Coturnix japonica: one gene and its partner. The protein of the gene in region 1 interacts with the protein of each later gene in a pairwise test. Links are inferred from orthologs where the notes say so. Each region holds a gene or a part of one and is shown in the gene's direction. Other genes may lie near its edges.

Evidence for each region.
Region 2: the proteins of CTNNA1 (region 1) and ARMC8 interact in a two-hybrid assay, tested with the Homo sapiens proteins (2 studies listed by BioGRID and IntAct). The link is inferred for Coturnix japonica from reciprocal best matches to the Homo sapiens genes CTNNA1 and ARMC8.

The regions. Positions count from the first base shown.
Region 1 is NC_029528.1:14,126,817-14,143,460, forward strand, and holds the end of CTNNA1 (catenin alpha-1), read left to right. Parts: intron 1-685; coding exon 686-886; intron 887-1,886; coding exon 1,887-2,038; intron 2,039-4,476; coding exon 4,477-4,587; intron 4,588-5,950; coding exon 5,951-6,132; intron 6,133-6,890; coding exon 6,891-6,996; intron 6,997-9,765; coding exon 9,766-9,900; intron 9,901-10,638; coding exon 10,639-10,926; 3' UTR 10,927-11,642; downstream 11,643-16,644. Other genes in the region: nucleotide exchange factor SIL1, read right to left, coding at 13,661-14,008, 15,403-15,567. UniProt on the Homo sapiens protein: Associates with the cytoplasmic domain of a variety of cadherins. The association of catenins to cadherins produces a complex which is linked to the actin filament network, and which seems to be of primary importance for cadherins cell-adhesion properties.
Region 2 is NC_029524.1:2,434,699-2,451,155, forward strand, and holds part of ARMC8 (armadillo repeat-containing protein 8), read left to right. Parts: intron 1-95; coding exon 96-188; intron 189-3,797; coding exon 3,798-3,857; intron 3,858-4,486; coding exon 4,487-4,567; intron 4,568-6,630; coding exon 6,631-6,706; intron 6,707-6,796; coding exon 6,797-6,887; intron 6,888-10,429; coding exon 10,430-10,490; intron 10,491-11,531; coding exon 11,532-11,732; intron 11,733-14,158; coding exon 14,159-14,254; intron 14,255-15,897; coding exon 15,898-15,980; intron 15,981-16,282; coding exon 16,283-16,364; intron 16,365-16,457. UniProt on the Homo sapiens protein: Component of the CTLH E3 ubiquitin-protein ligase complex that selectively accepts ubiquitin from UBE2H and mediates ubiquitination and subsequent proteasomal degradation of the transcription factor HBP1.

The DNA.
Region 1 (16,644 bases):
CAGGCGTTCTCAGAAATCTCTTAAGGGTTTTTACTCATTTGGAACCTCTTGAGCTTGATGAGCAAAGGAAAACATGTCTATTAAAATGTATTTTCTTAAAGCAAATGACAAAAGGAGGTTTTGTGGCTTTATTTCCTTGTGAGGCGGTGAGTGCTGAACTGCTGGAACGCTTTCAGCATAAATCACTGCGTGTGTTACCTGTCCTAATGCGTGTGCAGGGCACACAGTGTGGTACCTCCCATGGTCTGTGTGTGTGTGGTTGTAGGAGAACTCTGTGTAGGAAGCCAGAAATGTGCACCCAGTGCCCTGGTCTGTCAGGGCAGCAGTGGGTGAGGTGTGGCCTGGGACACCTACCTGTAATGACAGCGGGAGTGGCTTGCAAGTATTTGGAATGAGGGCTTTGGCAGCTCAGTGTATGGGAAGAAGCGAGTTTAGGGAAGCTCCAGCTGAAGGCAGCTTTTCTGTTGGCAAAACTGAGTACAAAAAGGGGACAGGAGGTTTGGATGCCTCCAGATGACAACTGGTTTGGACGGACAGCTGTTGGCTGGTTGTAGCGAGCTGATGCATTAATGCTTTACAGCATCTAGCTGGAGGTTTCTTAGGGCAGGGCTGAGAAATTGTAATGCTGATGTGCACGACAGAAAGGAAGATATTACCGTCTAAATCCTCCTTCTTTTACCACCAGAGAACCATATTTTAGAAGATGTAAACAAATGTGTCATTGCTCTCCAAGAAAAAGATGTTGATGGTTTAGACCGCACAGCTGGTGCAATTCGAGGACGTGCTGCTCGAGTCATTCATGTTGTCACCTCTGAAATGGATAATTACGAGCCTGGAGTCTACACTGAGAAGGTGCTGGAAGCGACGAAGCTGCTGTCCAACACAGGTAAGGCAGCACTTCCAGGACCCCGGGTTCGTGTTGGTTCCTAGTGGGTGGGCAAATGGATAGCAGTGTGCCCATGCAATCTATTAAGCACTCCATTTACATACTGTAATGAAAATTAGTGGGAGTTATTTGCAGAGCTGTTGCAAAATGAGAAAAGTAATTTTGCTTTGTTGACTGGCTCAAAACTCAGCAGCACAAAAGGTCTCCCTGGCTGTGCTGGTTGTCAGCCTGAGCTGAGCCAAGTGGAAGTGCCAGGGAACGAGTCCCAGACAGCGAGTCAGGGCCTGTGGGCACACCGGGCATCTTGTAGTGCTGTACCACGATCTGGAAGGGTTTCTGCTGCATTGCCCCAGCAGAGCGAGGGAACATTTCTGTGTACCTTGTAGAAGAAGCACTTGTAGGTCCTGGTCCCCCATCACACCTAGCTGGTAACATCCGTCTAAGGTAAGGAATGGTTCTGGGTGCTTCAGTGAGGGTTTGCCAAGGATTAGTTACTGTGTTTATTTTAATTACAACTGTGATGAAGAATCACGATGGCACTGAGGAGCTGAACAGGCTGTAAATGGCTCCATGATGGTGCTCACTGAGGCACAGAGGCGCACACTGCCCTGCTCAGCGCCTTGTGCAGCTCCAGCCTCGTGGTGGTAACGTCCCCCCACGCTGATGTGTCCTTGTCTAGAAGGAATGTGAAACAAGTGCTTAATGTTGTATCCCACAGACTGCAGCTGCTTCCCCAGGACTTTTCTCCTTGTGCTCTATGAGGGTGTGATAAACTTTTCACTGTGTGGGGAGGAAGGAAACAAGTAGCAGCAGAATAAAGACAAAATGCAGCACAGATAGGACTGAAGCACCAGTATTCGTGTTGATTGGTAACAAACGTTTTGAGTTCAGAAGGAACTGTTGCACACTTCCCAGCAACAGTTAATAACGATGCTCCCACACACACACCTGGGAGGGGATCAGGGTTGGAAATGACGGCTGTTGTGTGCTCTTAATACAGTTATGCCACGCTTTACTGAGCAAGTAGAGGCTGCCGTGGAAGCACTGAGTTCAGACCCTGCTCAGCCAATGGATGAGAATGAATTTATTGATGCTTCGCGACTGGTGTACGATGGAATCAGAGACATCCGGAAAGCCGTATTGATGATCAGAGTGAGTGTCACTTCCCTCAGCTGCTTTCTGCCTCTGCTCACTTTCCCCCAGTTGCTGAGCTAACACACATCAATTTTATTCAGAGCAGACAGCGTAAGATTTTCATTTAGCTCATGTTAACGTTCTCAGTCTTAAAAAGTGCTAATCACTCTGTGGAGTACTTCAGAAGTGCGTGTTGACTCAGATTCATTAAACAGATCTGAGCATCAATGATAGCCTTGAGTAGTGATGCTAAATACCCTTCACGCATCTTTTATAAAATCATGTTAATGCCTCGTTTATTAATGTGCTAAATCAGTGACCTTTGATTTAACAATTGCGAATGAATTCCTACTGTAGATGCTTTTTCATGGTTTAAGAGCCTGAATGTAAAGCTTAATGTCTCTTTCTTAAGTAAATTTTGAGAATTAGTGCTAGTTAGCTGAGAACGGGCTGAGAGGAGCTGGGTCTGTAGTTCTCTCCAGGTTTCTACAGCATGTATTAATTAATTGGCAAACCTCGTTAAAGAGAGACTTGTTCACAGCCCTGAGTGCAGCAGTGAAGGGGCAGAAGAGCTCCTGCTCACAGGTAAACTCATTGTCCTTCAGACCATAACCACTGCAGATGCATCTCGGTACAACGCGCAGCCCCAGAACATACGTGATAACCACTGCAACACTGCCTTCATGTTTGCTGCTTAAAGCAAAGAGTTGGATCGAAAATCAGGAGAAACGCTGACAGCCACATATGTGCTGTCCATATAATTCTCTTGTATTTACGCTTGGGATTTAATAGAGAGCCAATGTTATATGAAGATATCAGCGCTTTGCCGCTCCGCAGACGAGCTAATTGGATTCACCCCCTGCTAGAGTCCTTGTTATTCAGGACATGGGAGCAGGGCTGCCAATTGCACGTCGGCAGTAATTAGCAGAGCTGGCAGTGCCAGGACTGCTGACATTTCCCCCTGTTGCTGATGTCAGGGTGCCAGTCGCTGGCGGCAGCACACTGCTGACACACTGGCGGCCTATAAAAAAAGCCAGGCTGTTGTTATTTGTTGTCCAGAGGGCTGTAAGGTATAGAAGAAAAGAGAAGGTGCCAGAACCCCACTTCTGCAGGCCTTGGGCTCTGGCTGAGTGCGGGCACGGCCTCCCAGCAGTACAAGATGCTGCAGAGCGTGGCTGGGGCAGCACGCTGCCTGACCCTGAGCACTGGAGCTTGGAAACCAGAAGGAAAAGCCGTTTCCTCACCTGACTCTGTGCTTTTGCAGCCTGTTTTCAGAAGTAAAATCTCACTCTGTCTGTAGTTACTGAAACAAAGCTCTGTGCTCCCTGGTCCCAGGCAACCTCCTGTCAGCCCCAGAAGAGTCTTTGCCCCCTGGGCTGTCGGATGGGCAGGAAGGGGAGGGGCTCTGGCATTGTCAGCATCTTCCTAAAGATGTGGCAGATGGGTTTGGGGGGATCTTAACCCTGTTCTTAAAATACTGACACACCGATGTACCACACTGTGTGTCCCTGCTCGGTTCATAAAGGCATGGGCAGGAGCTGGGGCCAGAATACGTCTCAGTTGTCAGCATGCTCAACCACCTCTGCCTTTTTGCTGCTCTTTTGCATAAGTGTTTTTATTTTAAGTGTGTTACGAGATGTCTGCATCAGAATCAGGGAACGAGTTCATGAAATTGAGCATGGGAAAGAAACCTGAAGAGCAAAGACTTGGTTTGCATTTTGCCCATTAATCACAGTTCGTGGCATTTATCAGTGAAGGTCTTTGTTGGTCCAGCTCTGCAGAATTGTCTTCGAGTTCCAGGCTCAGCAGAGCTGCAGTATTTGAACAAATGTGGCTGTTTAAAATGATAAGCTGTATAAAAATGTTGCCAGCCATAGACTGGCAGTAGCAAAAATAAATGGTAGGCAGGCGGGAAGTAGGTCAGCTGGGTTTAGCCGACAGCATAAAAGCTGGCCCTTACGAGCTAAACATTTTAAGCTTCTCCTGGGGGACGAGAATAAATTTCGATACGTTTTGTCTGTTGTTAATTCAGTCGATGCTTTGATTCATAATTGTGCTAAAGAAGACGTCCGTGGTTGTGAACCAGGGCTTAAAGTTGTATGTAATTTTAGCTCCAGGATGTGAGGCGAAGCTTTTACATTTATCAAAGTTGCAAAAGGTGGTGTTCATTTTGGAAAGACTTTCTCTGTATTTCAGCTCCTCTGTGCATTCGTGTCCTCTGACAAATCTCAGATGTTCAGTGACTGCTCAGTAATTTGGGGGATTTCTACCGTGTTTAACGTGAGCGCTCAGCTGTGCTCACCACACGTGTCTGTAAGGCCTGTCACACCTTCCTGTTGAGGACATTGAACAGTTCTTCCCTGGGCTTATTTCCATCCTCACAAACACGGCGTTCTCCTTGATTTTAGAGCCATTCAAACTGCTGTCTGACTCTTGGTGTGCTTCTCTCCCCTCAGACCCCAGAGGAGTTGGATGATTCTGACTTCGAGACGGAAGATTTCGATGTCCGAAGCAGAACAAGCATTCAGACAGAAGATGACCAACTCATTGCTGGACAAAGCGCAAGGGTAAGGAAGAACTCTGTGTTAGCAGAGCGTGTCCTGCCTTCAAGAAGCAGTTCAGCTCATTTTGAAGATCCAGGTTAAATTTTGGTTAGGTCAGAAAGCAGACATTCTCTGTTTCTGGTTTGCTTTTGAGAAGGAGTTCAAGTGAGATGCAGCAGGTGGTGTGATGGATGTCACAAACACCAGCGTTTTGTTGTAGACGTTCTGAAAGATCAGATTGCTTTTTGTACTGATGAGCTGCTGCATCCTTTGGCATCACAGAGAATCACAGAATGGTTGGGTTGGAAGGGACCCCAAGGATCACGAAGCTCCAACCCCCCACCACAGGCAGGGCCACCAACCTCCCCATTTCAGAGCAGCCCAGGCTGCCCAGGGCCCCATCCAACCTGGCCTTCAACACCTCCAGGGATGGACGGGGCATCCACAGCCTCTCTGGGCAGCTGTGCCAGCACCTCACCACTCTCAGAGTAAAGAACTTCCCCCTGATATCCAACCTAAAGCAGATGTTGTAGGCACTGCCATTTAGTCAGGCAAGGAGTGTCTGCAGGAAGATACAGGACAAGTAATTCCATGGTGTGGCTGTGAGTTACAGCAGGCAAATACCAGCTGTGTGGGCATCAAACTTTGCAGCTCAGGCATTTTTTACAGAAGGTTTTCCTATGTATAAGTTTGGGCACTGGGCCTTTAATCAAGACAATGCTGAAAGCAGCTGGAAAATGAAGTAATTTAAACAGAGTGAATTTCCTATGACTGTTTAAAATGAAAGCACTGATATGTAATACATAATCATTAACAGGTGATAACTTAAAATTGGTACACGGAAGGAAAAGCAGGCCTTACCTATTGCCTTTGTTTGACGTGTTCCCTTCTGGGTCGATAACAATTTATCCTCTTGGGAAAATGCCATGAAAGATTTTTCTGAAGGCTCTTTTTGTCCACAACCAGGCAGGAATGGTGGGGCCTTATTTATCAAACTGCCGCATTGCCTTTGGAGCTGTGCTCACTGCTGGTGCTTTTGTGCTCTCTGGGAGGTGAGGCTGCTCCCTCCTCGCCGTGCTGCTGTTCTGTGAGGGATGGTAACATGTGGCAAACATGGCTGGAGTCACACAGTTTTGCTGTGCTTTGGGTGTCAGCTTGTCTGTCTGGGTATTTTTTCTTCTTTAGAGCTGGTAGTAATTCATACAGCATAAACTTCATGTTTGAAATGGAAGGAAATCGCTCTGGAAACCCTCTAGGTAGAGGATTGCTATTAAAGTTTTATCCCCCATCTACGTAACTTAAATTGGCTATCAGTGAAGTGTTCCACAAAGCAAAGCCTTCTGCCTTGTGGCTGGGGGAGGCTCTGTGAGAAAGCTTTCTCTTTCAGGCTATCATGGCACAGCTCCCTCAAGAGCAAAAGGCCAAGATTGCTGAGCAGGTAGCGAGCTTCCAGGAAGAAAAGAGCAAATTGGATGCTGAAGTATCAAAATGGGATGACAGCGGTAACGATATAATTGTTCTGGCCAAACAAATGTGTATGATTATGATGGAAATGACAGACTTCACCAGGTGAGTGTTTGTAATTTGTGCACACAGCACCTCTCAGAGCTGCCTGAGATGGTGCTGGTCCTTTTTAGCAGCCTCACTTCTTGTAACTGTCAATGTTAACCTGTTAAAGCCTGGGATTAACCTGGGAGAGGTCACTGTACAGTGACCGGAGCTGTTTAGATTGGTCTGTAGATAGACACAATTGTTGCCTGATGTTCTTTCTTTCTTAAGGGGGATTTGGGCCCAAAGAGTGTATATATAGACATATATATATATATATGCACATATATATGCAACTACACATAAATATAGCATTCAGTTCTTTACAACATTAAGTTCTATGGGCTTCTTGTTATTGCTGTGCTATAGAAATAGTTCCTCGCACAGTTATTTGCAAAAGAAAGAGTGTTTTTCTGATGGCTTTTGAAATCCATTTACTAGACTTCATACAACACTATTTTTTAAACTTGATGTTGCGTTCCATGCAAATTACAAATCCGCCTTCTAAAATGTTATCTCTCATCATAATTAGTTTGCTTGAAACAGTAAAGTTTAAGATGTTTTTATTCCTACATTTAATCTGAACGTGGGGAGAGGCTGCGGGGGGGATCTGCCTGGGAGGTGCATGAAGAGGCATTAATGGCTGCACCTGTGACCCGCCTGCTTGTGCAGCCTCATTTGTGCTGTGGGGTTTGCTGCCACTGTAATGAGCAATGGGAAGAGCAGCGCCTTGTTCCAGCTCTTGTTTTTCTGAAGGTTTGCTCTGTTCTGCTTTCCAGAGGTAAAGGTCCACTGAAAAACACATCAGATGTGATTAGTGCAGCCAAGAAGATCGCAGAGGCTGGGTCAAGGATGGACAAGCTGGGACGCACTATTGCTGACCACGTAAGTCACCATTTCTTTAATGACCCTCCAGCACAGATGAGCAACAGATGTTTTCATGCTGCAGACACGGTGAATGTGGCAGCCTGTGGTTACTGTGAGGGCTGGGCTGTTCTTCTGCATTTCCAGAGTTGTGTCTTCTCCTGCTCGCTGTTCTCCTGCCATCCCAGCACTGCAGGCAGCTCAGTTTGTCCAGCCATGAAACCTGCAGCTCCTCAGCTTCAACCAGGTACCTGCAGTCTGACAGCCCTGCTCCAGCCCGGTGCCTCAACACAGCAGGGCTGGAACTGTTCCTGTTGTTTTCCTCATGCTGAGGCTGCCAGCACTTTCCAAAGCAGTGACAGGGCTGTGTAGGCAATGCCATAATTACTGCACGTGGCCTGTTTGCACAACCTGTAATATTAGTTTTGAGGCAGCTTTTTAATACTGAATGATTTTCAGATGCCCCGTAGGTGAATGGTGGCCTCACCATTATTCCTTCTGTCCAGCCCAGAGCTGATGGAAGATACGGAGTCAGGAATGCTGGGTGCTCTGCATCATCCCGGGCTGTGGTGCAGGTGCTGTGCTCTGTGTGCTCTGTGAGCTGCAGCATTTGGAATGAATTGTGTAGGACTGAGCTCAGGGTTTATGTGGTGTGTCCCGGGCTGCTGCACAAGCTGGGTTGGAACAAGCAGAAACACCTTTGGTCTGAGTCCACACCCAAACTGCAGACATCATAATGCTCTGCCTTTAGAAGGTGCCCTGCAAGGCAAGTAGGTTAGGTCTGAGATCATGACTGCTCTAAACTGTGTTTCGTGCAGCTGTTGCTTGCTTTTCAGTCTTGCTCTGAACATAATTGATAATACCAGGCTTCTAATGAAGCCGTCTTACTCTGAAATTAAATCTTTGTGATGCAGATCTCTATTAAGCGTTGCATCCAGAGGACTCTGTGCTCACCTCAGTGTGTTTATGGTGCAGTGAGAAGCGTTTGATGAGGAGCAAAAGCAGGAAGGTGTTGTTTAAAATGGGCTCCCAGCCGTAGCGCTGTGCCAGCCCCGATCCTGGGGATCAGGAGCCGCTGCTGCTGAATGCAGGGACATGGAGTGAGGAGCAGTTTGTGTCACAGACCTCGGGGGGGGTTTGGGGCTGAAGTTCCCAACGCTGCTGTTTCTGATTCATGTGTTCGGCACAAACCTGGTGGATGGTTCCTGCACTGAGCAGTGCTGGAAGGGGGGAGGTTAAATGGCTGCTTTTAGTAGACATCAAGTGGGTAAAAATGTAACAGATGAAGCACAGGTCAGGAGATAAATACCAGCAGGAAAGCACAGTTAGTCACTTTGACAGGAATATGGCTTTTTTGTGACTCCACACCCTGCTAACACTTCCACCTTACATATTTCATTAGATAGGCTTACATGCTCTGCAGACATACCTGACAGAGACAGAGGGCTGCGTGCAGCCGCTCCGGTGGAGCACGAATGTCTTCCTGTATCTCACATGGCTGTGAGCGAGCAGAGGGTCCTGGTGTCCCACAGCCCACGTGGCAGTGCTGGATCACAGCCCTGGTGTCAGCGTGTCGGGGCTCCCAGCTTCACAACGCAGCGCCTTCAAACATCCCAGCTGTTATCCCGGGTATTTCATGTCTGCTGAGAGGCATCGAGCCATCAGCCTGCAGATTTCCCCAGGGGTTTTCCTTCCATCCTTCACTCAGAGGAGCCGCCTGCTTGTTTTGAATGGGAGAACGTGAAGGAGTTCCGAGTACAACACAAACGAAAATGATTTGCAGCAATTCTCTGTTATTATTTTTTTTAATGTTGAAATATTTACAGCAGGAAAACCCACCCCGTTGTGCTGCTGCACACAGTGATGGGAGGCTGATGGCTGTACGTGCTGCTGGGACCACACGGGGCTGCCTCATGTCCTAATCAGTGTGGGAACCATGGAACCCTAGAATGGCCTGGGTTGAACAGGACCACAGTGATCATCTCTTTTCAGCCCCCTGCTGCGTGCAGGGTTGTCAACCACCAGCCCAGGCTGCCCAGAGCCACATCCAGCCTTGGATGCTGTCTTTTATCTTGGGTAGTTTCTCTTTGCAGACATCATTGGTTTTTGAACTGAATTCTCCACTCTGCTCATCGAATTAGCACACACAGTGTAGGCTGTGGGTTTCCCAGTCATGTCATATTGATGTCTGCTATTAAATAATATCTCTGATCCCATTTCTTACCTTCCCACTGCTGTTTGGTTGCTTCCTGCCACCACAGGCTCTTCCTAATTCCTACCCGTACAGCACCCCAAGCTGTGCACAACCCCCAGCCACACTGCAGTGTGTGTGTGTCAGCACTCAGCCCCAGCTGAGCTGCTCAGGAGATGGAGAGCATTTCCCAGATGCTAATGGCAGGGTTTCATTAACTCCTTGGCCCACGGTGTTTGTGAGCTCTCCCTAAAACATCTTGCACTGCTGGCTGGTATTGATTCACTTAAGAAAATAACCAGCAGACCTCACCTCTTTGTTATGCAGTTTTCACTTCGCTGATGGAAACCAAGAGAGCTGCAGGTGCCTCGGTGTGTTCTTAGCTTGGCTGGGGGGCACGAAGGCAACTGCTGCCACCCAGACCACAGAATCACAGGGTATCACGGGGTGTCAGTGTGTCACAGGGTATCACAGTGGGGCATTGGAGGGTGTTTGGGTTCCCTACGTGAGCATGTGGGGTGCTGGAAAATGCAAAGCTGAACAAGTTACTTCCATGGACTCCATCCCCACACCAACCCTTGCTGTGTCTCTCCCTGCAGTGCCCCGACTCGGCATGCAAGCAGGACCTGCTGGCCTATCTGCAGCGCATCGCCCTGTACTGCCACCAGCTCAACATCTGCAGCAAAGTGAAGGCTGAAGTGCAGAACCTTGGAGGGGAACTCGTCGTGTCTGGGGTACGTAGGATGACGTTTGGTGCCACACAGCTCTGCTGCTTGATGTGCTCCTCTGTGGGAGGCTGAAGGCATCGTGCTGTCAGAGGAGTGGATGTGTCATTACACAGTAATGTGGACTCCAGGGTTTTACTGCCATTATTCAGCTTCTTCAGAACGTACATCCCCTCCTGCCATAAATTAGTTATGTGAGCAGGCATCTGCCATCTAATCTGCCGCTTTATCTGCTCCCCTGCAATCTGCCCATGGGGCTGAGTGCTGCTGGGTGCTGTTCAGCTCTGTCAGGTTACAGGGGAAGGCCCCGTGTCTGCAAGGGAATTCTGTCTCATTTTAAAGCTCCTGTCAGTAGGAACCACCCTGCAAACAGCTCCAGGCCCGGTGAAGATAACACTGCACTCCTCCCTTTGTAATATAACTTCATGTTCCCGGCTGATTTAAATGTTTATTATCAGCAATTAAGATATTGCTGTGATTTTATTAATTTCATTAGAGAATAAGCTGCTTTTAAAGCTTAGTCCCAAAAGCAAACAGCGGAGCACAGATCCCTTCGGTTGCCATTAGCACAGAGCATTGTGCAGGCAGGGCGCAGTGTCAGCAGGGGAACATCACTGTGTGGATGGGGTCCAGGCTTTGAGCAAAGCCATCAGAGCAGTTGTGGGGTGGGTGCAGTGCAGAGCTCAGGGTGCTGCTGTGGGGCTGCTGGGGTCTGTCACCTCCTGTAACCCCATTCCCTCCCTGCAGGTGGACAGCGCCATGTCCCTCATCCAGGCGGCCAAGAACCTGATGAACGCGGTGGTGCAGACGGTGAAGGCGTCCTACGTGGCGTCCACCAAGTACCAGAAGTCGCAGGGCATGGCCTCGCTCAACCTCCCCGCCGTGTCCTGGAAGATGAAGGCTCCGGAGAAGAAGCCCCTGGTCAAAAGGGAGAAGCAGGACGAGACCCAGACCAAAATCAAGCGGGCGTCCCAGAAGAAGCACGTGAACCCGGTGCAGGCGCTCAGCGAGTTCAAGGCGATGGAGAGCATTTAGAGGTGCCCGTGTCGGTCAGTTTTTCCTTTAGGCCACTACTGCTACTGCCAGAACTCTGCTCTTAACATCCTGAGGATTCTCAGGAGTTTCCTACTCCTCCAAATGTATTTACTTAATATAATTTTGATAACTTTGTTTAGATCATGTGGGGAAATACTCGAATCACGAAACCTATCAGTATAGCTCCAGACTGCGGGAGTGTGTTCCTTTAGATTGCTTTTAGATTCCAGGGGTGTATTTCTAGCTGGAAACTATTTTGTATAATCTCGCTTTAAATGAAATATTCTATAACCAAAGAGGTTTTACACTAACACTAACAGTTAACGCTGATAGCTGAACCGTCCTGCTTGGAGGCGGCCGTTCTGCCTTGTGATCCAGAGGGAAAAATTAAGGCTTTTCACTCAAAAAAAAAAAAAAAAAGGTTTTACAAATAGATTATTGTGTGTATGTGGATCCTGCTGGGAGCCGAGAGCCAGTGAGCTGTGAGTGCCAACAGGAGCTGAGAACACAGCGAGCAGCTCCTGCCATGGAGCTGCATGGCACACGGCTGGGCAGGGCCGGGAGGGGCTGCAGTGCTCCCTGTGCTGCCTCCCATCCCTGTGCCCCCCGTGGCTGCTGGGGTCACTGCTGGCTTCTGTGTGACACCAGAGCGGTAATGCCCGGCTGCAGACGGCGGATGTTGTTGCTGCAGGACACAATAAAGTTGCTTTTCCCACCCTGCGTTGTGCTGTTCGTGCTGTTGGCGCTGTGTGCATTTCCCAGCAGCTCTCGTTAGCTCTGGCTGCAGTGCTGTGCGGTGATGTACCTACAGGCATCGCTTCACCCCTGTTTATTTACACACTCTGGGTGTTGGTGTGTTTTACTCCCACCAACGAGATCCCTCCTTCCCCAGAAGGCTGTGAGTGGTTCGTGGCCAGGGGTTGGTGCAGTGCTGTGACTGTAACTGAGTTTGAGAGCAGCTCCTTGGCAGTGCTTAGCTTATAATTCCATTTACCTCAATCACGGTTTACTGTATCAAGCCCTTTGCTGTCAGGTTACCAGCTGCAGGTCAGGATTAGGAGTTAATGTTGCCCATTTTGCTCCCAAGTGCTGCTGCCTCCAAGGACGGGTGACAATGCCCTGCAGTGTCAGTGCTGGCCCCACAAACACCCAGGGCCTCAATGCTGCACCTTAATGCCACAAACACAAACCACTCCTCTGGATCCCTGTGTGACAGCATCACAAACTGCAGCAAACAGACACTTAGATCCACCCAGGTTTAGTGTGAACACAAACTCATGTTGGGCTGTGAACTCTGGGAGCATCCCCAGCCCTCAGGAGCCAGCAGGGCCCAGGCAGGCAGCATCCAGCACAGGAGCGGCACCGTAACTTTATTAGAGCCAATTGAAAAGAATTACAGTAATTACTGCTTGATGCAATTAAGCTCTGGGGAAGGACTTGTGCGCTTCGTCTCATCCGCAGTGCTGGAGGGAAGGCTGTTCCTCTGGCAGCAGTGTGAGGAGCACACGTGGGGATGTGCTGCCAGCGCTGCCCTGCTCAGGGACACCACAGCTGTTTGTTTGTTGCCTCTGTGGGTGGAGGAGAGCAGCAGGAGCTGCCCTGCACCCAAAGGAGCAGCTCATCCCACGCAGTGCTCAGCATATGTGAGGCACGATGCAGCGCTGTGCTGTGCTGCCTGCTGGGCTCTGGCTGCCCACACTGCCCAGGTAGCTCAGCAGCACCTTCCCCGAGCACCAGAGCGCTCCTTGGTAAGCAATGCCAGGATCAGCTTCCTTTCAGGACAGTGTTCTCCCTCCACTGTGCTCCTCCGGCAGTTGGTGGCAATGCCAATGGCTGTACTGGGCCATGAGCCGCTCACCCTGTGGCTCTGAGCTGTGCACATCTGTGCAGCCACACACCTGGGCACCATGGGACAAACAGACCAGGGGGGAAAGCAGGAAAGGCAAAGCCTGACAGAACTGCAACCCCTGCAGTGAACCCTGCTGAGGGCAGGGACAGCACTGGTGGGCACTGTGTGCTTCCATGGGCACCACTGTCCTCACTGCTGCCCTGAGGTGGCCCCGGCACCCCAGCAGTAGGAGGGCACAATACACAGAGCTACATGCAGCCCTGGAGTTTGGGGACCATGAGGGCCATGGGGCCAGGACACCTCAACCCCATTTAGCACTGCGTGGTGCCCAGCACTGAGACCTACCCCAGCAGTGACAGCCATCAGATGGTGCTTATCCTTAACCCTACAGAACCCCAGCCCCGAGCAGGCAGCTGGGAACGGTGCTGGGGAATAAAACCAAAGCAGGTTTTTAATCCCAGGGAGGCAGCTCCAATAGAAACCCAAGGAATGAGAAAAACAAACACTAAAATCAATACTTGCAATAAGTGCCTCCCTGCAGCGGTGACAGCCGGCCGACCACAGCCACGGGCAGGAACAGCTCAGCACCCACTATGTCCTATGATGGGAGGAGTGGACCCAGGGCTGCAGAGGGCACTGGCAGCAGGTCCTTGTCTGTAGGGCAGCAGCAGCGTGAGCTGGAACTGCTTCATCCCTCTGAGCACAGACCTGTTTCCCAGTGATGCTCATTGTGAAGGACGGAGCCCCCAGCACCTCTGTCCCATAACAAACCCATTGGCACACACAGGAGGGGCTCCCTTAGCTCAGCCATTTATTCCCGGTGCACTGACACAGCCCAGCACACATCACACCATTGTCCCGACCCATCCAAGCTCCATCCTCAGCTCAGCTCAGCTCCCGCACGATGCTGTTCACAGCGCCCAGCAGCTCCTGGAAGTACCCGTCCCCATCGCCATCCCTGCGCTCAGCAGCTGCCAGCTCCTCGTACTCACTGCGCAGCATCCCCAGCGTGGCACTGAGCGCCGTGTCCCCGCGGAACCGCTCCCTGCACAGCTCCATCAGCACCGACACGGCCTTTAGCACCTTCTCGCGTGCATCATGCTCCGGCAGAGCCAGCAGCCCCGGCACAGCCACACACCAGTCCTGCTCCAGCACCGCCGGCACCAGCTGCACCCGCCGGTACTGCTGCACCTTCTCCATGTGGTCGCTGTGCTGAGAGTCCTCCAGCAGCATCTGTGGGGGACAGGGGGCAGGTGATGGCACAGGGAGGTGAAGGAGGATTCAGGCTTCTGTGGAGCCAACAACAGAAACCCAGAGCCAGAGGAGCAGAGGGAGAGCAGTGATAGGCACAGGATGGCCCCATCCCCATGGCCAGCTGGGTACCCAAGGGTGTCTACGGTGCCCTCCCTCAATATCTTTCTACCATCCCCACTCCATCACAGCACTCTGTGCCACTGAACTGCCAGGCATAGAGACAAAGGAGTGATGCCCTATTTCCCATTAGGGCTACTGCTGAACACCCATTTGTACTTTGGCATTCAGGATTTGGGATGAAAAAAAGAGGAGACAAATATCATTCAGACACTGCTTTGCACTTCAGTGCAGAGCCAGCACTCACAGGGGCTGGTGTTACTGTATGATTTTAGAAGCACATTTTCACCCAGGCAGCCCCAAACCTGCTGGCCCAGCCCTGCTCCCCACCAGGTTCCATCGTGTTTTGGTTTTCCCTGCAGGCCCTGGAAGGGGCTGAGCCTGGTGGGCTGCAGGCAGCAACAGCCACGTGTAGGTACAAACATGAGGCTCTGCAGGGCATGAGGAACCTCCAGCAGCCAGAGCAGAGCTGGGGCTGCATGAGGGGCAGCACGAGATGTGGCAGGAGGAGCCAAGCCCACCAACCCTTGTGCTGTAGCAGAGGAACAGGGCAGCACACGTTACAGCCAGAAAGGTCAACGCAGAGGAAGGGCAATACAGGAGTGCAGAAGGAGAGATCAGTGCAAATAGAATGGTGTTACAAAGGAAAAGGTGCTCACCCACCTCTGAACATCCAGGCTTACAGGAAAGACTCCTCAAGGAAGAGATTTCCAACCACAAACCCTCCCCAGTGGCAGTCAGCCCTTCAATGAGGCCTAAAAGAGGAGCAGGCAGCCCCCACCCCTTCCTGCCTCAGAGCTGAACTGCCTTCACCTGTGCTGCCAGGGCTGACCCTTCCCCAGGTGCTCCATCAGTGGCTCAGGCTGGGACTCAGCATTTCCCATACAGGGAGTCAGAGCTCACACCTGATGGGATCTCAGCCATCACAGTAACGTGCACCTTCACATAATCCCATGGAGAACAACTGTTTTAGAGCTCAGCCATTCCTCTGCGGAGCCTGGAATCTGAGCATTAAAGCAGCCATAATCTGCAGGGCAAATTGGCCATAAACAGAGCGAAAGTGGATTTAACTCCCATTCTCTGGAGTAAGAGAGACGCACAAACTAAATAACAAGCGGTGGCGAGGAAAGGCAGCGTTTGAACTGACATTTGCAGCATTAATCCCTGGTACGTGGAAATAAAGCTGCGGGAGCTGCAGGTCCAGCCCAGGAGCTGGGAGGGCTCCATCCCCCCGTCCCGCTGCCCACAGCCCTCACCTTCTCCACAATGAGGTCGTAGAGCAGCGTCACGGCGCGGACACACAGCGCTGAGGTCCCCGGCTGCCTGAAGAGCCCACGCAGCACCTGGAGGCCGCCCAGCTTGAGGAACTGCTGCTGGGCGTAGGGGAAGTGCCTCAGCAGCGAGGAGAGAGCAAAGAGTGCCTGCAGGAGAGCAGGGGGAGCAGGGCTGTAATGCAGCACAGGGGGCACGGGCTGCTCACAAAGCTCCCACACAGCCCGGCCATGAAGAGCATCCCAAACCTCCCCAATCCACCCACCACAACCCGCAGCTGATGCCCACCTGAACTCCCATCACTGCAGGAGTTGGGCACCCACAGTGACACAGCCAGCACCTGCACTGTCCCAGTTCCCTCCTTTTGCCTTTGGCACAGAACCTGGCCATGGGCAGAGATGGACACCAGGGAACATCACCTCTCCTGCCTCATGAGGGCAGAGGACCAGTCCAGGAGCAACATCTCACACTGTGAGTGTGGCAGCAGCACACGTGTGCTCCCTTCTGTGTCCCTAACAGACGGGCTGGCACAGAGGGGTAAACAAGGGTCAACAGCCCCATTCTGATGGCTGCTCCCAGCACAGTGCTGGGTTACACCACCATCGGGCAGAACTATGGGGCCATGGGGGTCTCAGAGAGATCCAGCCCCGTGCCATGGCAAGCCTTGTGCCCTGCTCTGCGGACAGATCCAAGCTGACAGCCATTGCTTCCCCGGCCCCATTTGTTACTATTTTACATCCCTGCAGTTGCCTCCGGTAAATCAGTGATGTTTCCGTCTCCTTTCTTACCATAGGCCAAAGGACCAGGGAGTGAAGGATGCACTTCTGGCCTCGCTGCAGCACAGTGCTGCGAGCATCAGTGCGGAAACCTGCAGGCTCGGGCACAACCCATCATGGGCACCTGGCCTGGGGGCTGGGGGCACTGTGGGCACAGGAACGGGCTGCGGGAATTCAGTTTTTCCTCTTGGAAAAAGGCCTCAGCTCTGCCCCAAAGTGCCACGTGGGTACATGGATGGCACTGAGCTCAGGGTCCATACCCAGCAGGGGCTCAGAAGGGGCTGGTGAGGGTCTGTGCATCCCAGCCAAACTTCCCATCGCACACTGAGCTGCAGGTTGGTCCCTGCAGGCACTGCTCCCACCCAGCAGTGAGGGAGCAGCCAAACAGCTGCAGACTGCTCAGCTCCTCCCAAGGCTTTGCTATGGACCAGAGACGAACACCTTTGTGGA
Region 2 (16,457 bases), on another chromosome or scaffold:
GCAGAATTGAGTACCCTTCTAAGTAACAAGTTATTAACAAACTATAGTGAAATGGTCTTAATGCCTTATTTTTTTTTTTTCTGACTTGCTTTCAGGATGCTACAGTTATCTCACACCTCATGGCGCTGCTCAGTAGGTCTCGATATACGCAAGAATACATATGTCAGATCTTCTCACACTGCTGCAAAGTAAGGAGGAGAATACATGTTCTCTGTGAGACTTGTTGTGTTTCTGGCACATAAGAATCTGTGTAAGATACCACCTCTTTCAGCAGGCATATTAGAACAGTAATGGCTGAACTCCTGTTGTCCTAGATTTGCTATCACACTGGGTGTAATAGATGGTTCTCTGCAGTAAAGCCAAGTATGGAAATAACTGATTTTTGAGGTGTTAATATCTTTGGCTACTAAACTACATCAGCAGTCGAGGCAAATATCAGTCATCACTACTAACAGTAGTTAGCATGGGATAACAGTATAGGAAGGTTTTGTTTTTATTTCTCTGGAAATCTCAAAAAACATGTGAACTTCTCTTTGCAAAGGGCTTTCATCTCCTACCACACCGGCTGTTTTAAACCAAGAGAAGGGTTTACAAGAAGTACTGTAGGTTGAGGGGAAGAATGCTATTCCCAGTTGAGCTGTACCAGTTACAGGTTTATCCTGATAAATGTTTGTTCCTGCTGTGTAATGCAATTTCCCTAATATAGGGATTATAATTTACCAACAACTCTACCTCAGATACATTCTTGTTCTCATGTTGCTGTCTTCTAGTCCTAAGGCACTCCTTGTCTGCATCTCTCCCTATATCCCTTAGTTTCTCTCACACAACTTTTATGAAAAACGTTTCTTTTGGTAGTTATTGTACCTGGTGGGTATAAAGTAACTGATTCAGTTCAGTGTGGAAAACCAAAATTGTTTAGCATCTGTCCTTTATAGCTACATTTTATGACTAAAGACAGATAGACTGTATTTATCTGCTGGACTGGCAAGTAACAGTGTTCAAATTTCTTGAATTGCTAAGTATTTACCTCCAAAAATATGTCTCATAATTGAAAAATGAGTCTTCTGGGGCTGTAAATTATTTCTTTGTTTGTCTTTGCCTTGGCATGTGTGTTCATCCAATTCAGTTTCTTCTGTTACATGAAACTGAAGACTGTAAAGCAATTTAAAAATTGAACTCAGCTGCTAATATGTAGAGTATTGTTGAAAGCAAGCTGCACTATATAAGCTGGGCTATCCTATGCTGGACTATATAAGCTCGATCTGTAGTTAATATTAGAAAATAAATTTGGTATTTTAAGTAAGATGCACCGGTGCCATTCCTTTCTGCTGTGGGAAGGTTGTCACACAAGGTGTTTTGATTGTTTCCGTCTTGACCTGATGGGAACAAGTAAGTTGTACCTGTCTAATGACAAACACGGGCACCTCAAGTTTAAATAGGCCTTGACAGTGCCTGTAATAGAGAGTAATGACTGAAAGATCAGGCCATGTTGGCACATAAGGGAAATAACACAGGACTGACAGTATATGGATGCAGAAGTCTGTTGATCCAGGTGGAACTTAGCTCAGTGGCAGAAGCCTTGCTGGCTGGCTGAGTGCAAACTGCTGAGTAATGTCAGTTAACTAACCCAGCTTGAACACACTTGTCATCTTCTCCTATGTGAGCAGCTTCCTTTTAACTCTGTGAACTCCTGCTGACTTGCCTCTCAAATGTATAGTTAATAAAACAGTAGCCCAGTCACATAATAAGAGGAGAATAAGCAAGGTCTTATGAAGTCACCTGTTTTCAGCACCACTCCAAACAACAAATCCTGCTCCAGCTCAAACAAAACTTGGAGTGAATGTTTTGAAAAATCCCAAGGTTTTGGAATGAAAAGGTGACATTGGAAACAGGCAGAAACCTGAATGCGCATTAAAAGCAGAGTGATGGGTATGAAGGATGGGGCCTATATCTGTAGAATAAATACCTTGCTGCAGAGCAAAGAAAAATATTTGTAATTAAGCTCATTTCTTGTTCTGGCTAATGCCCCTTTCTTCCTTACTTTGATTATTTCTTGGATTTCCTATCTGGGAAATAAGACGTAAAATCAGTTGTTGTATTCTGGAGTGATAAAATATTTCTAGTGCAGGCAAGCAGAACTTGCAGGGATTTTCTGATGTATGTGGAAAGTACATTCTTATTAAAAAGTATCGAATACTTCTGAAAGAACATTTTAAAATGAAGTTTTCATCTCCTATGCTAAAAAAAATCATGACTGAGAACCCTATATAATTTTTCCCTGGATAAATAAGTTAGTACGAGGCTTGTAATTCAGATAAGCCTTAACATATTAGTGTATGTATCAATGTTTGTATTTTTTTCTTCGTATTAATAAATACACACAAAATGATGGCATATCACAGCTCCTGTCTGTCCTCCTTGTTTCTACATACTCTTCTCTGCTTAGATCTTGTTCTCCATTCTGTCTCTTCCTGGTCAGAGAGTTTTGTTTGGTCAAGCTTTTGGGGTTCCTTCTTTCTTACCTGCTCGAATTGCAGCTTAGACCTGTTTTCCTTAGCTAGGAAATCCTTAATTCAGGTTCCTAGCATATTGCTGTTGTTGTCTGCTTCAAGTTCATGCTTTTATTGCTTTTCACTGCATTTTTGGAGTTAAAATTGAGCAGTGGAATATGTTGACTCTGGAGAAGAGCCATCTTAAGGACAGTGTTGGTTTACAGGGGGAAATGGTACAGATTTCAGCATACATAGCTATGACTCTATCAACATGTAATCAAAACCAAGCAAACTGAAACTGGATTGTGTTCAAGGCATGCTAAAATGCAAGTCAAAACTTTTAAAGGTCCTCTCTATCACAGTTGATTTATTTCCAGAGAAAGTAACGTGAGTAGGTCAGCTTTACTGTTTTAAACATCAAATTAGAAGGATGTGCTATGCATTTGGAAACAAGCAGTTGTATAAACAGTTTGAAAAGATAGTGTTGGAAAATTATTTTGAATGTGGTGATATCTCTGTATAAGTTCACCAGTGGTTGAAAATTAAACTCATCTAGGAGAGATGCAGGTTAAAGCCTGTAATCAGGGCAGTTTCCTCCTAAGCTTATTCTGAGAATGATTTCTTATGTGATCCTAGGCCTGAACCAAGATACATTTGCACTTCCATATCTGCATCTAAAATTTTGTTATGGAATGAATTGTTAGACTCTTCTATCCTACTGCTTTCATGAAAATCAGAGTTTTGATAGAAAATAATGCAAGGAATGTGATTTGTCTCCGAAATATTTCATCACTCAATCACATCTGGGGAAAAGAAGACCGTAGAATAGAATGGTTGGAAGGGACCTTAAAGATCATCTAGTTCCAAATATGCTGAAAGGGGGTTTCGGATCCTTGAAATAGAATTGGCTCCTGCAACTCTGATAGGATGCCCAGAGAAAAACAAAGCCAAAAGGCCCTGCTATTAAGCTGGTGTCTGAGATGCTTGGAATTAGAAAGGAAGGATGGATACACTGTAATCTGAAGATATCACCTGTGTATTTGAAGCTGTCTGCATCACAGTTAGAACTCAGCCTGCGTGTGCATTGAACAAGCAGAATTGGTGTGTGCATACACAATGTGTATGTGAAAGCATCCAATCTGTACGTCAGCTTCTGCAGCTATGAATACAGAGTTTGACATCTGCATCTCATTGAAAAAGTCACTAATGCCTATGGATTACTAGAACAATCTAGGTCAATATGATTTTTTTTTTAACTTCTGAGTTCATTCATATTTTTCACATATTTCAATATCTGTTCTTCAGCTTCAACACTGGCATAGCTGCGGCTTTAAGTCATTGCCTCAGCCACTTCTGTGTGCCAATGTAAGTTGTTTTCCTACTTCAACCATGCTATTTTGATTGTGTTTTTTTTAATAGAAAGCTCTTGGTGGCAGTAGCAGCTGAAGCATCTCTTAAAGCACCAGATATGTAATTCTCATGCTCTTTTTCTTAGAGTGAGGGATGTTCCAAAAATGTTCTTTTGAATACAAAGAGAATCTGATTTCAGCTGAATCTCAAATGTGGAAATGAAGTGTCACTTATGCTTACTAGGGTGTGTACATATGCCCATAAACCCAGCCGGGTTTGAGCAAGAAATTGAGTGAAGATACTTTCTGCATTTGCAGAGTAGTCAAGAAAATGTATCAGGGTATGATTAATGGTGTGACATCCCAAAAGGTGGATTCCAGTTGTGCCCGTGTTTAATGTAGAGGTGGCTAGAGTCACGACTCTACTTCTAAGGAGGAGTTTGCAAGTCTCCCAGGAGACTGTTGAGAGTTAAAAAAATTGGGCTTCTTTCTTGAAAAGATAAGTTGATATACCAACTGATTACGAAACACATGCTGGTGAATCTACCTTTGAATAGTAAAATAATAATAGTTGAGGTAATAGTAATCTTTCACATGTTCCTTATAAATAAATGAATAAATCGCATTTTATATTTTCCTTTGTAGGGTCCAGACCACCAGACAATCTTGTTTAACCACGGAGCTGTTCAGAATATCGCACATCTGTTAGTCTCCACCTCCTACAAAGTAAGACATGAAAATTATTCAGTGTTTTATGAAAGGGATCTCTACGATCATGATAAAAGCTATGTATACATGTATGACCTAGAACTGTTAACGTGTGGAATGTCTATTTATAGAATCACTTTTACCTGTTGTGTGGGTTTCTGTCAAAATGAGGCCTGTTATTTTGGAATGCTCTTAGGACGTCTTTACTTCAGGCAGATCTGGGATTCGTTGATCAGAAGGACGGTCACTTGGCAAGCATAAGGAAAAGAAATCAAAATAAGGCTGGTGTAATTTGCTGAACATTTAAGGAGAAAGAGCAATTAAGCAGAAATGCAATTAAGCAAAATGAGCTGTCCTAAAGAGAAGATACACTTGTAAAAACATGAGCTTGGAATCTGTGAGGGTTACCAGCTACCAATATTTTGTGCTCATTGAGTCTCACAGGCTCCATCCCTTTTTATGCTTTCAAGAGTCCATCCTGGGCTATCAGAAAATGCCATGCTGTTTCATTTTATAAATCCTGTTTGAAGTACGGTATTCTCAGTATTTTGTTACTGGGACTGACAGGTGTGTTTTCTGTCTTTCTGTATTACGTTTTCATCAACTGAAGTCTTTCATTCTGTGTTGTAAGGTGAATGTTCCAAGTTGTGCACCACTTTGAACCATTCCTATTTTTTTTTAAATAAAGAAATAGGAGCTGGATAAGATTTCTCAGTTGCTTTTTTCAATGTAACTGATGCTCTTCAGGAATTCAAGCCACTTAGTTCTCATCCAACTCTGGGTTTGACTGTTCTCAGTGCTTTTTGAAGCACTGAGAAGTCTCTGCTTCCTGTTGCGTTGGTGCATACCTTGTATTCATGAAATCATCTGTTCAGTAAACAGAAGTGTTGCCAAATAAGGCTTTTGTTTTGAAGCCATGTATCCATTTCTGCTATTTGTTACTCCTGACTTCACTGCTATTGATTGTCTTACCTTGACTGTAGTGAGATACAGTATGAATGCTTGGTAGTCTTTGCTGTTATTGTCTGCCTTCAGAATTCTTGGGGAAGATGAACCTAAACCTAAAATGCAACAGTCACAAATGCTTTCTTCAGCGACAGGGATTTTTAGGTTGAAATCTTGCTTCTTAGTGTTATGGTCACACTAAGGAAGTTGTAACAAAAGCATAGAAAGACATCAGCAAAATTTACATATATAGATTCCTCATTAACGACTACTACAACATATATAGAACTGTAGCAATTGAAGTCAAAAGACTGTGAACTAAATTAGATTCATTATCTGGGATGATGGTGATGATCTTCCTTGCCTCAAAAAAGAGGTCAGAAGGAAGTCATCTTTAGTAGGCAGTTATGAAGGCTTGATGAACCAAAACTTAGTTTCAGATTTGAGGCTACCCAAGGAGGTTGTAGGGTCTCCTTCCTTGGAAATATTCAGAAGCCAGCTGCCCTAGTTGATAGATGAAGTTGAACCAGAAGATATCCAGAGGTCTCTTCCAACCAACCAAAACAATTCAGTGATCCAGCATAGAGAGCTGTGAATCATTAGTGCACGAGTGATAACTGATGTTATGCAATAGCAATGAAACTTACAGTATATTATTGTTTTAAGATTAGTTTAAAATCAATTTGACTGGATAATCTCTTCAGAAATATTATTAAATTCACCTTTAAAAACTACTGATACAGTGACATGTGTTTCTAATTCCCTCAGGGTACTCATGAATCCTCGAAAGAGGAAGTACTGGATTTATGATATATCTGGGTTTTTTTTTTTGCTGTTTACATGTTTGTGTGAAACCACAAATGAAACTAGTGTTTCTGAATGTCTGCTTCCCACATGCCAGTCCTTGCTTGTGTCTTTGAAAACAGTCTACAATGTCAAGTCTGGAATGGTAATTCCAAGCAGGGAGATCACAGGAGTTAAACTGTGAATTAGATGTTTTATCTGCTTTTTATCCATCTAAATTTCTTACTGGTGATGCAGAATTATTTCTGCTGCTTTGTACATCAATACAGTCCTGTTTTACTTTTAAGTTAGCATTTACATCTATGCTTTATTTATTGTTTTTTTTTAAACAGGTTCGAATGCAAGCCTTGAAATGCTTCTCCGTTCTAGCCTTTGAAAACCCACAGGTATCAATGACTCTGGTAAATGGTAAGTATAATGCAACCGCTGCTTGTTTGACACTTACTTTATTGACTGATTGAATTAGTATCACTTTGAGTTCTCTTCCATTACTTACAGTGTCGGTTGACGGAGAACTGTTACCACAAATCTTTGTGAAGATGTTACAAAGGGACAAGCCTATTGAAATGCAGCTCACATCAGCCAAATGGTAATTTTCATCGGGAATTGGAATGCAATAGTGTGCAATCTAGTACTTCTTAACTTTTGGTTTTATCCTCGCTGCATGCGAGGGAACTAAAACTTTAGGTAGGAATAATGAAAGATGTTATTTGTATTACCTAGATACTTGAAATATTGTTATCACCTAGTCATCTTATTTTTTCTTGAGCATAAACAAGAAAAAAACCACCTCTGTTTTCTTCAGTTGAACTGCAGTTTTCTCAAGTAGCTTGAATTTGATTATAAGTTTTATGTTAAATAGGTTATAGTCAGTAGTTTGTCCTTACAAAGTATAATACCGAAATGTAATTGTGTACTACCAGATAATGTGCTTGTTACACCACTGTCCTGAGAGTTTGCTTTGGAGACTGTGGCTGTGGTGTATTGAGAACAGTAAGCCCTCTCCTAAAATAAGAAGAGAGCAAGACACTCTCTCAAATGGTTTAATTAAGCATAGATTGTTTTTTAAACTTCATATGTTCATGCAACAGAATTAGTTACTAATTTATTTTAAAGTTCATCTCTCAACTTTCCCTTTTGATATGGGCAGATTCCTGTATGTTCATGTACCTAATGACTTTGTACCTTGTGACAAAATGTGACTGAATTCTGTAACATTAACACTAGGGTTTCACACTCGATAAGCTGGGAGCTAACTCTGCTTAAGACCCTTTTTCTTCTCTTATATTGATGAGATGGAGTAAATAAATGACTTCAGGTGTTTGAAGAGATATGTCACTATGAACTACTAAAATCTAACATGATTTGAGTGTTTGGTCATTGATTATTTGATTTGGTCTCCTTTAATTCTTTCCATTTACAGCTAGTCCAGATTTTAGTGGCTTATCTTTGGCTTACAGCAATGAGTTCTCTCATTCTATTCACCAAAATAATTTCACTGACACTTGTCAGAGCAAAGGCTTGAGTTTCTGGCTGAGGAATAAGGATGGGGGGAGTAGGAGGATGGTCTCTTTTGTCACGTTGCCAGGTTGTGGCAACTTAACCCATTCATGAAAGCAATTATAAATAAGTGTACGTTTGGGGAGGATTGTTTTAGGAAGGTAATCCCACTGTGTGGTGGGAGGCTGGACTGGGGGCCTCCTGCATTCCCCTCTAGCAAATCAGGTTTTCTTCAGGTACTGAAGGGGAGGCAAGGTAAATCAACTGTCTTGAAGAAGTCTGTTGTGATCGATTTGTGTTTCTTTGGCAGTTCAGAGAAAACAGAGAATTAGGGTTAAAAAACCGAGTTCATGAGAACAGGTTATTTTTTTTAACTTAAGATACAAGAGCATCGGTTAGTTATGAAGGCAAATTGCAGTTAGAAATCTATTCTGGCTTTGGTTTCTTCTTGTTCTAGGATAAACGCTCTCAGATATGTTGGTATTCTTTACTAATCTGCTTTGATTTGGAGGGATTTGGCTGGAGATTCTCTCATTTTTGGCTCAAATGGACTTTTGAAAGCACAGAAGAAAAAATGTGCAATGAAAAGCAAAAAAAACCCTACAAGAATGAGGGGAACAAACCAGTGTCTTGTGCTTCAAGAGTGGGCTCCTAATTAGCCTGTGGGCAGCCCTCTTTCCTAGGGCACTGAAGGTATCAGTTTCATGACAGTGTAAGGACTTCAAAAATCTACTGGCTTTTCTTCTCTAAATCTGTTCCCTGCTTGTATCCCTTAAAGTAAGTCTGTATCTCTCTTCACTCCTACTCCTTCTAGGCTGGAGTAGTAGGTGAAATTGTAACTGCTTTTCTGATAAAAAATTAAGACTTCACTTTTGATGTGCCAGCTTTTGTTGATTAACGTGGGATTCCTCTCTGGTTTATTGGTAGAGTCCTTAGAATACAGAAGTAGAGTTATTTTGGTGAATTTCTGAAGCCTTCTGCTAAGCTGGTTTTAATCTACATACTGGTATACAGGGATATCTGAGGAAGCTTCCTTTGCTTTTCAACTGTTCAAGTAGACCTGGAAGATCTGACTTAATACCTCTTGATTGAAATGGAATAAGGATCCTTCATTTGAACGGTGATTTTGGCAAAGAGGGAGCAATAAGTCGGCCTCTTGGGGGAGTGATTTGCACCTATAAGCAGAACAGTTTAGAGAAGAGCACCTTTTCTACTGAAATTAGTGTAATTGCTGCCATCTAAGCCAAGCCTATTTATCTGAAGTACTTTAACTTACTTTGTGTTCGAAGTTGAGTCAGTTTGTCCTGCAAACAGTATCGTAACAGGAATTAATGGCAGCTGCAAGACTGGTGTTCTCCTCCTGATTGTTCAGACGTGGAAATCAGTATTTCCAGCTGTAAGATACAAAGTTTGAACAGAAAAGTTTAGAAAATAATCTCTGTGCTGCCGAGTTGTATCTGTTTAACTTCTGAGTCATAATAGCTAAAATCTCATAATCAGTGCATTTTTATTCACGTCTTTCATTGGTAGACACTTGGAACAGGTTAAATGATGTTATTAAAGATGTGGGAACTCTGGGTTCTTTTAAAAATCATAGGAATGCAGTGAAACATGGTGCTATTAAGGTTGGCATATTATTATGGGCAATTGTGATTGGCCTTATATATGGTTTCAACCAGTCCAACCAAGAATTGAAATGGTAGTTTTAAGTCACCTTCTTTAAATGGCAGTTGGTGGTTGGTTTTTTTAACCTCCCACTTGCGACACAATAAAAGCTAGTTACAATGGCTTAGTTTGAAAGCTAAAACAAGGTACTTGACTACTCCTGTACTGAGTCTCCTAAATTAATGCCAAGCTCAAATATTTCTGCAGATGACACCAAGCTGGCAGGAAGTGTTGATCTGCTTAGGAAGGCCCTACAGAGCCATCTGGTCATTAGGTACATGAACATACAGGAATCTGCCCATATCAAAAGGGAAAGTTGAGATCTAATGGAACTAGTGATAGGACTAGAGGGAATGACCTCAAGTTGCACCAGGGAGATTCAGGTGGTTGGACATTAGGAAATACTGCTTCTATGAGAGAGTGATAAGGCACTGGAATGGGCTGCCAGGGTGGAGAAATGTTTGAATGTCGTGCTGAGGGACGTGGTTTAGTGGGAAGTATTGGTGATAGGTGGATGGTTGGACTTGATCTTGGAGGTCTTTCCCAACCTTGGTGATTCTATGACTTAAACTGTCAGCCCTCCGTTGACCCTCTCCTTATTAGTCCTTTCCTGTGCTGTGGGCAGTATAGGACAGATCTGTGCGTATTGCTGTTTTATCCTAGTGAACATAGTTAACTTTGTTTTGTTATTGTAAGAGATTTGTACATCAGTCGAGCTTCTTGGTTAGTCCTTTTTTTGACCTGTGTGGTGTCCGTGTTGGTCAGTGCTCCAGCAAGATGTTCTGTGCTATAAATCTCCTTGCAAGTGTGTGTGTTGTAATTTGGTCATGTGCCTACAGTTAGCTCAAATGTATGAAAATCAATCAAAAGGGGAGCACATTTCATTAGTACAGCGGGTTGTTCTGCAGTGTTTTAAGTGCTAAAAACCAAGGATAAGTGAATTTATGTTTTATTGTGTTGTCACAGCCTTACTTCCATGTGCAGAGCTGGAGCAATACGGACAGATGACTCTTGCATCGTTCTTAAGGTGAGCTAGTTAGACAATTCTGTTTAAAACAGCATTTCTATAAGGATCTACTCCTGTTTTTATTTGTCTAGTATAAAAAGTAGTGCAAAGCCTGTTAAATAGGTGATCTCAAAGCACCAAGTTCTAATGATAGTAATTAAACAAACAGTTGTTCCCTAATTGCCTTAAAACACTTATAGCAGTGTAGCTCTTGTAAGAACTTTTAGATACCAAAATGTTGATATCCAGCAATAAATATTCCAAAGTTTGACACACAGCAGTTTAAGGTTTGTAATGATGTAAGTAACTGTTTGTAAGTAACATGGAAACCACATCCCTACCTTGATCTCTGCATGCGAACAAGGCGCTGTTATCTGTTTCAGAAGCAAGTTTCAGAAGACTGTAGTCAAGACAGAAGACAATAGTCAAAATGCTTGCACAGTGTATAAAAGGAGCCTGTCAAAATCAGGCTGTTCCTCAAATTTCACAGTAGTTTTGTAAGTTTGTCTGAACATCAGTGCTTCATAACTTGGTTAGGGTTGGGAGAGTTGTCTGCAGCGCGTCAGGAACTGTCCCTATGTCCAGTGTTCTGGTAATGCAGGGGAAAGGGCAGTTTCTTTATAAGATGCTGCACTAAGAAAACACGTTTCAGTGTTAATCGCAGTTGAGTATGGTACATTTACACTGTTTGCTAGGGGGAATTTCGTATCTGCCATTCAAGGTAATTACAGGTGAAAGTCCTCATGTTGGCAGAGTCAAATTTCTATCTCTCCCATCTTTTTAAGCGGATATCCAAAATGCAGTTCATTCCAGTATCATCAGTGTCAGTAGTGACATCTGATCTAAACTCTTTTTCACTGCATGAGAACTTGGTTGAAAGTAGCCTAATGTATACTCAGTATTGCCTGAACAATTTCTCTGTAGTCTTTAAAATACTTTTTGTCTGAAGGTACCTGTTCAAATAACATTACTGAGAATTGCTTTAAAATAGCTGTTCGAGTTTCTTTATGAACCTAGCTGTTCCAAACAGTATTTTGTTTTTATTCTTTTTAAACTCATCAGACTCTGCCATGTTTGGTTCGAATGTGTAGCAAGGAGAGACTGCTGGAGGAACGAGTAGAAGGAGCAGAAACTCTGGCCTATTTGATTGAAACAGACGTGGAACTTCAGAGAATTGCCAGCATTACTGACCACCTCATTGTCATGCTTGCCGATTACTTCAAGTATCCCAGCTCAGTGAGTGCAATCACTGATATCAAAAGGGTAGGTTCTTCTGCTGAATCTTTGAAAAACAGTAAGAAATGGGCTCAAGGTGTTTCTTTATTCTGTTTAGCTCAGCCTTATATCCAAGTTCTTCAATGGAAAGGTTGCCAGACCTAGGCTAGGCCATGACCCTAATGCAACTAGGCCTCAAGTCTTTGTTCATTCTGGAGCCTGTAATATCCAAACAAAGAACTTTGTGTATATTTGGGCTCTACATCTTGTAAGAAGGATTTTGCTGTTCTTTGTGGAACACAGGAAGATGGTTTCTGGATAGTTTAATGCAGCTTCTTCATAGGATTTTCATGACATTTCCCAATGTAGTAGTGAAATACTGGACAAGGGCATCTGTCATGTTGCTCATGTGCTGAGTTTACAAGTTTACAGCTTCAGGAGCCGCTGCATTTCGTCTTCATAAGAGATAATAGTCCATGTGATGTGGATGGTGTGAATTCATAGGTGAAGTTGTGGAAAATGTTAAGTTCAGAGATGGTTCTTTTCTGTTACGCAGAAAAACCTGGATGCCCTGTATATCATTTCACGTTATCTCCCAGATGTTATCTGCACTTGCAAGAGGTTGGATAAACAATGATCCAGTATACCTTGGAGGCTTATTATCATAGGTGTTTTAGGAGCTGTTCTATTCCCAGCTGTATATACACTTACCAAAGCACTAGTAGATCAGTCAGTCTTGGAAACAGGATTGTTCTTGATATTCCTTGTAGGGAAGTATCGTTTGTCAATTCCCTTTTTCTCTCATTCAGTTTAAAGAAAGTACCCCAAAGAAGTGGATTACAGAGCCTTTGTTTTTCTTTGAGACTGTCCCCAGGGGTGGACACACCTCTCAGGCTTTCAAGGGATTGAATTGATTCTGCACGTACAGTTGCTTTTAAGTAGATGTAAAAATGCAAATTAAATATTAAAAAAACTGTTGGTTGCACTTTAGATAATAAGCAGAAGGAAAATGAGCATTTGACTGGGAAGCAGTGAGTGTTGGTGGTAGCATCAAAAACATGGCAAAGGTTCTGAACAGGAGTGATTATAGGTATTATGACATGGCTTTAAGTGTTCAGAAAGTCTCTAAAAATAGTCACCTGGAATGGCAGGGTGCTTGTTTGGAGGAGAAGGAAAAAAACTCTTTGAATTACTCCCTAGAAGGTAAAAACAGGATGAGTGTGGACTTTACTGAACAGATTACTTATTGTTGTTAAAATATTAAAAATAGACATAATACATTCTGCTCTAATGGTGTATCTGTACCAGGGGAAATTGTTCGTACAGCTTAATTTTGGACAGTTCTTTCATACCAATAACTTGTCGCTTAATACTGGCATTTTTCTGGCATTTTGAGTAGGCTTAAAATGTTGCTCTGTTATGTGGAACCCTTTGGGTTGGAGTTTGCAAGGGTGTCAATCATAGAGCAACTCTGCTTGGTAAGGACATGAAGGGATTGTCTAGTTGGCTATTGAGAACTGCTAACAATGGTGATTAAACAGCTTCTCAGTGCATTCAGTTCCAGTGTTCCCCAGGTGAATATGAGTTAGAACCTCACCTGTTCCAATCTGATTATTGTCTCCTCTTTCTTTGCACCTCCATAGAGAGTCCACCTTCATGTTCTTTGTAGTCTTCTTGAGGTGAAGGCTGCTCTTATGTCTCTGCTCAGCCTTCTCTTCTCCTCGCTGACAACCAGGGTGTTCTCTTTCAGCTAATGCAGGTCTACTATCCCAAAGTCAAGGCTTTGTATGTATTCTGCTTCTTGCCTTGCTCACACCTTGCAGGAGCTGGGATGCCACTATTATCCCTACAGCCAAGTGTTCCCACTTGATTATCATACCCAGTACAGTTGTTCCTGATTTGTGAGTCATGTGTCCCGTGATGCATCACCCTAATTCACTTGCCTAGAACCTGTGTTGTTACCTTCCCCAAACATCTAGGCAGTTAGCACTTTGATGTGTTGCCCTTATGACAGGAACTGGAAGTTAACAATCGCCTTAAGCTCTAAGTCCTGTGGTTGAGGGATGGGCTTCGGTTCTGTTGATAAAACTTTTGATTCTGTACTAATTTTTTCCACTTCTTCTGGCTTGTTCCTATAAGTTTCTGTTGGGTAAATAAGACTGCTTTTCACCTTAATATAGTCTGAATGGAGCAGTAACATCTGAGAAGTGTTTTGGCATCAAAATGTTGTAAGCAGATGTTATTTAAGTTGGCTTATCTGTAACTCAACAGTGACATTAACCATACCCTTAAATTATTGTGTTCAGATGATGAGCGTGGACATCAGCTGATGAAACAGCAGGTTGTTTGTATTTCTGGCTGTTCTACGTGTGATAGACAAAACCCGAGGAAGCAGCTATTAGTGTACAGCAAATAAGGAAATACCACCCGTAATTTTTAGCGTCTATATTTGATATCTGTATTTATTTAAATAGCTTGACCATGATTTGAAGCATGCCCATGAGCTGCGCCAGGCTGCTTTCAAGCTGTATGCTTCCCTTGGAGCAAACGATGAAGATATTCGAAAAAAGGTGAGCAAAAATGTCCGCAATGAGGCAGAGCTATAGGTGAAGGGCAGTGCAAGAGCTTGGATGTATGTTTTGCTCCTTCCAACTCTTCCTTTGTTTTGCTGTGAGTTGTGAAGGCTTGCTTTCTGTTACATTAACAGAGTTCTACAGCGCTCTTTCTTTGAGTGGGATTTGAAGAAAATTTGTCTTTATTAACAAAATAGAAGAGTAAGGTTAGTTGGTGTGAATTTTTCATGGTGATAAACTAGATTTTCAGAATAAAGTCTTTCAGCGTGCTGTGGTCCTTGCTACTCAGAATAAAATGGAATAGCTTGGTAGGAAGGGACCTAGAAAGATTATCAGTCCAGCCATTTAGGCTGTGTGAGGTCATTGCTGTGGCATGTGGGTCTTAAAGCATTTCTGCAACCTGTGTTTTGGGGAGACAAAATTTGCCTCTGTTATAAAATGAATGTTTACCCAGAAACAAACCCTAGGAAATCTGATCATGTTGTGAAACCAAGTCACAATTGATTCGGTGATTCTGAAGTGACCGAGGGGTTTGTGCTATTAGAAAATGTGGTGTCATGGGGGACAAATTCTACTCAAACAATGAAGAAAAGATGGGAAGATAGGAGTAGTCATGTAGTTAAAAGTTTGAAATTTAGTGTGGGGTTGCTATGTCAAACTAAAATATCAGGCACAAGAAGCAGGATGGATGAAAAGCAAGGGCAGGTAGGAGGTGGGAAAACATTCAGTTGAGAGGATAACAAGTAGGAGGATTTTTTCATTGGGGACCCATTCAGAATCTCCAGATTTTAGAGAATGATAGAATTATTTGAGTTGGAAGGGACCCTTCAAGGCCATCCAGCCCAACTCCCCTGCAACAAACAGGGACACCTACAGCTCCATCAGGTGCTCAGAGCCCCATCCAGCCTGACCTTGGATCTCCATGTCTCCAATGATTGTAAAAAAAAAAAACAAAAAAGTTCTTCCTTATATCAAATCTAAATCTCCCCTCTTTAAATTTGAAGCTATTTCCCCTTGTCCTACCACAGCAAACCCAACCGGAGATTCAAACTCATACATTTCTCTTTCTAATTTCTTTAGTTAATAGCAAGGATCCCTTCTCTTACATTTCAAAGAATTGTCTTTAACAAGTGATGGATGTGAACAGGACAAAGTTGGTTTATTATATAAAGGCCATCTTTCACCATGGTATTAACTCCCTTTTCTCCTACTTTTAAATGCTTGTGCCGGCCATGTCTAAATATGGAAGATGAGCAACTGTATCTTTTCCAGATGGCTTTACCACATGTCTCTAATCTATAGTTTGTATATATTTTGTACACTCACACATGCTATCTTTCATTTTAGTATAACACTGAGTAATACATTGTACATATTATATGTATTTTTTCTCAATGATTATTCAGGACATTTTGAGAGCAGTAGTGGAACAGAGGGTATAGATATCTCCCAAATCACGTGCAGATGCACACTTTGTTCTGCTTAGTTTGAGACTCTAAAGTGGCTTGCTGTTTTTAGTTATAGTTTTTGTACGGTATTTAAAACATTGCAGACAGGAAAGAAGAACAAAACAAAAGATAACAGCCCCGTAAATGTTCATATTATTTTATTCATATGATATTGGTTACTTTTTGCTCTAGATCATTGAAACTGAAAATATGATGGACCGTATTGTTAATGGCTTATCTGAATCTAGTATCAAGGTGCGATTAGCTGCAGTCAGGTAGGATGCTTTTTTTGTTTCATACAAACAATTTTTTTTGGTCAAAGTCTGGTGTTGCACTTGGTAGAACTTTTTTCAAGAGCTGAAGTTAATCTGAAATCTTCTGCTTTTGGAAAACTTGTTAGGGGGAGAAAATGATCCTGGACTAGCTCAGTATTTTCTTTTGCTATTTGCAAGCTGTTAGTCACCACGTTCTAGGCTGCATTATTATGTGCAAAAGCAACGTGTGTGTGTGTATGCATAGAAGCAGAAGCGTATCTCTGTGTACTTTTTTCACAATGAATGTTTCTTTTCTGTTTTAGATGTTTGCACAGCTTGTCCCGTTCTGTTCAGCAGCTCAGGACAAGTTTTCAGGACCATGCTGTATGGAAACCTTTAATGAAGGTAAGTGAAGTCAAGTTGCAACCACTCGAATTTTCTGCTTGGTTATAATAACGTGGAGGATATGGTGTATGTTTAATTTGCACGTGTTTCTGT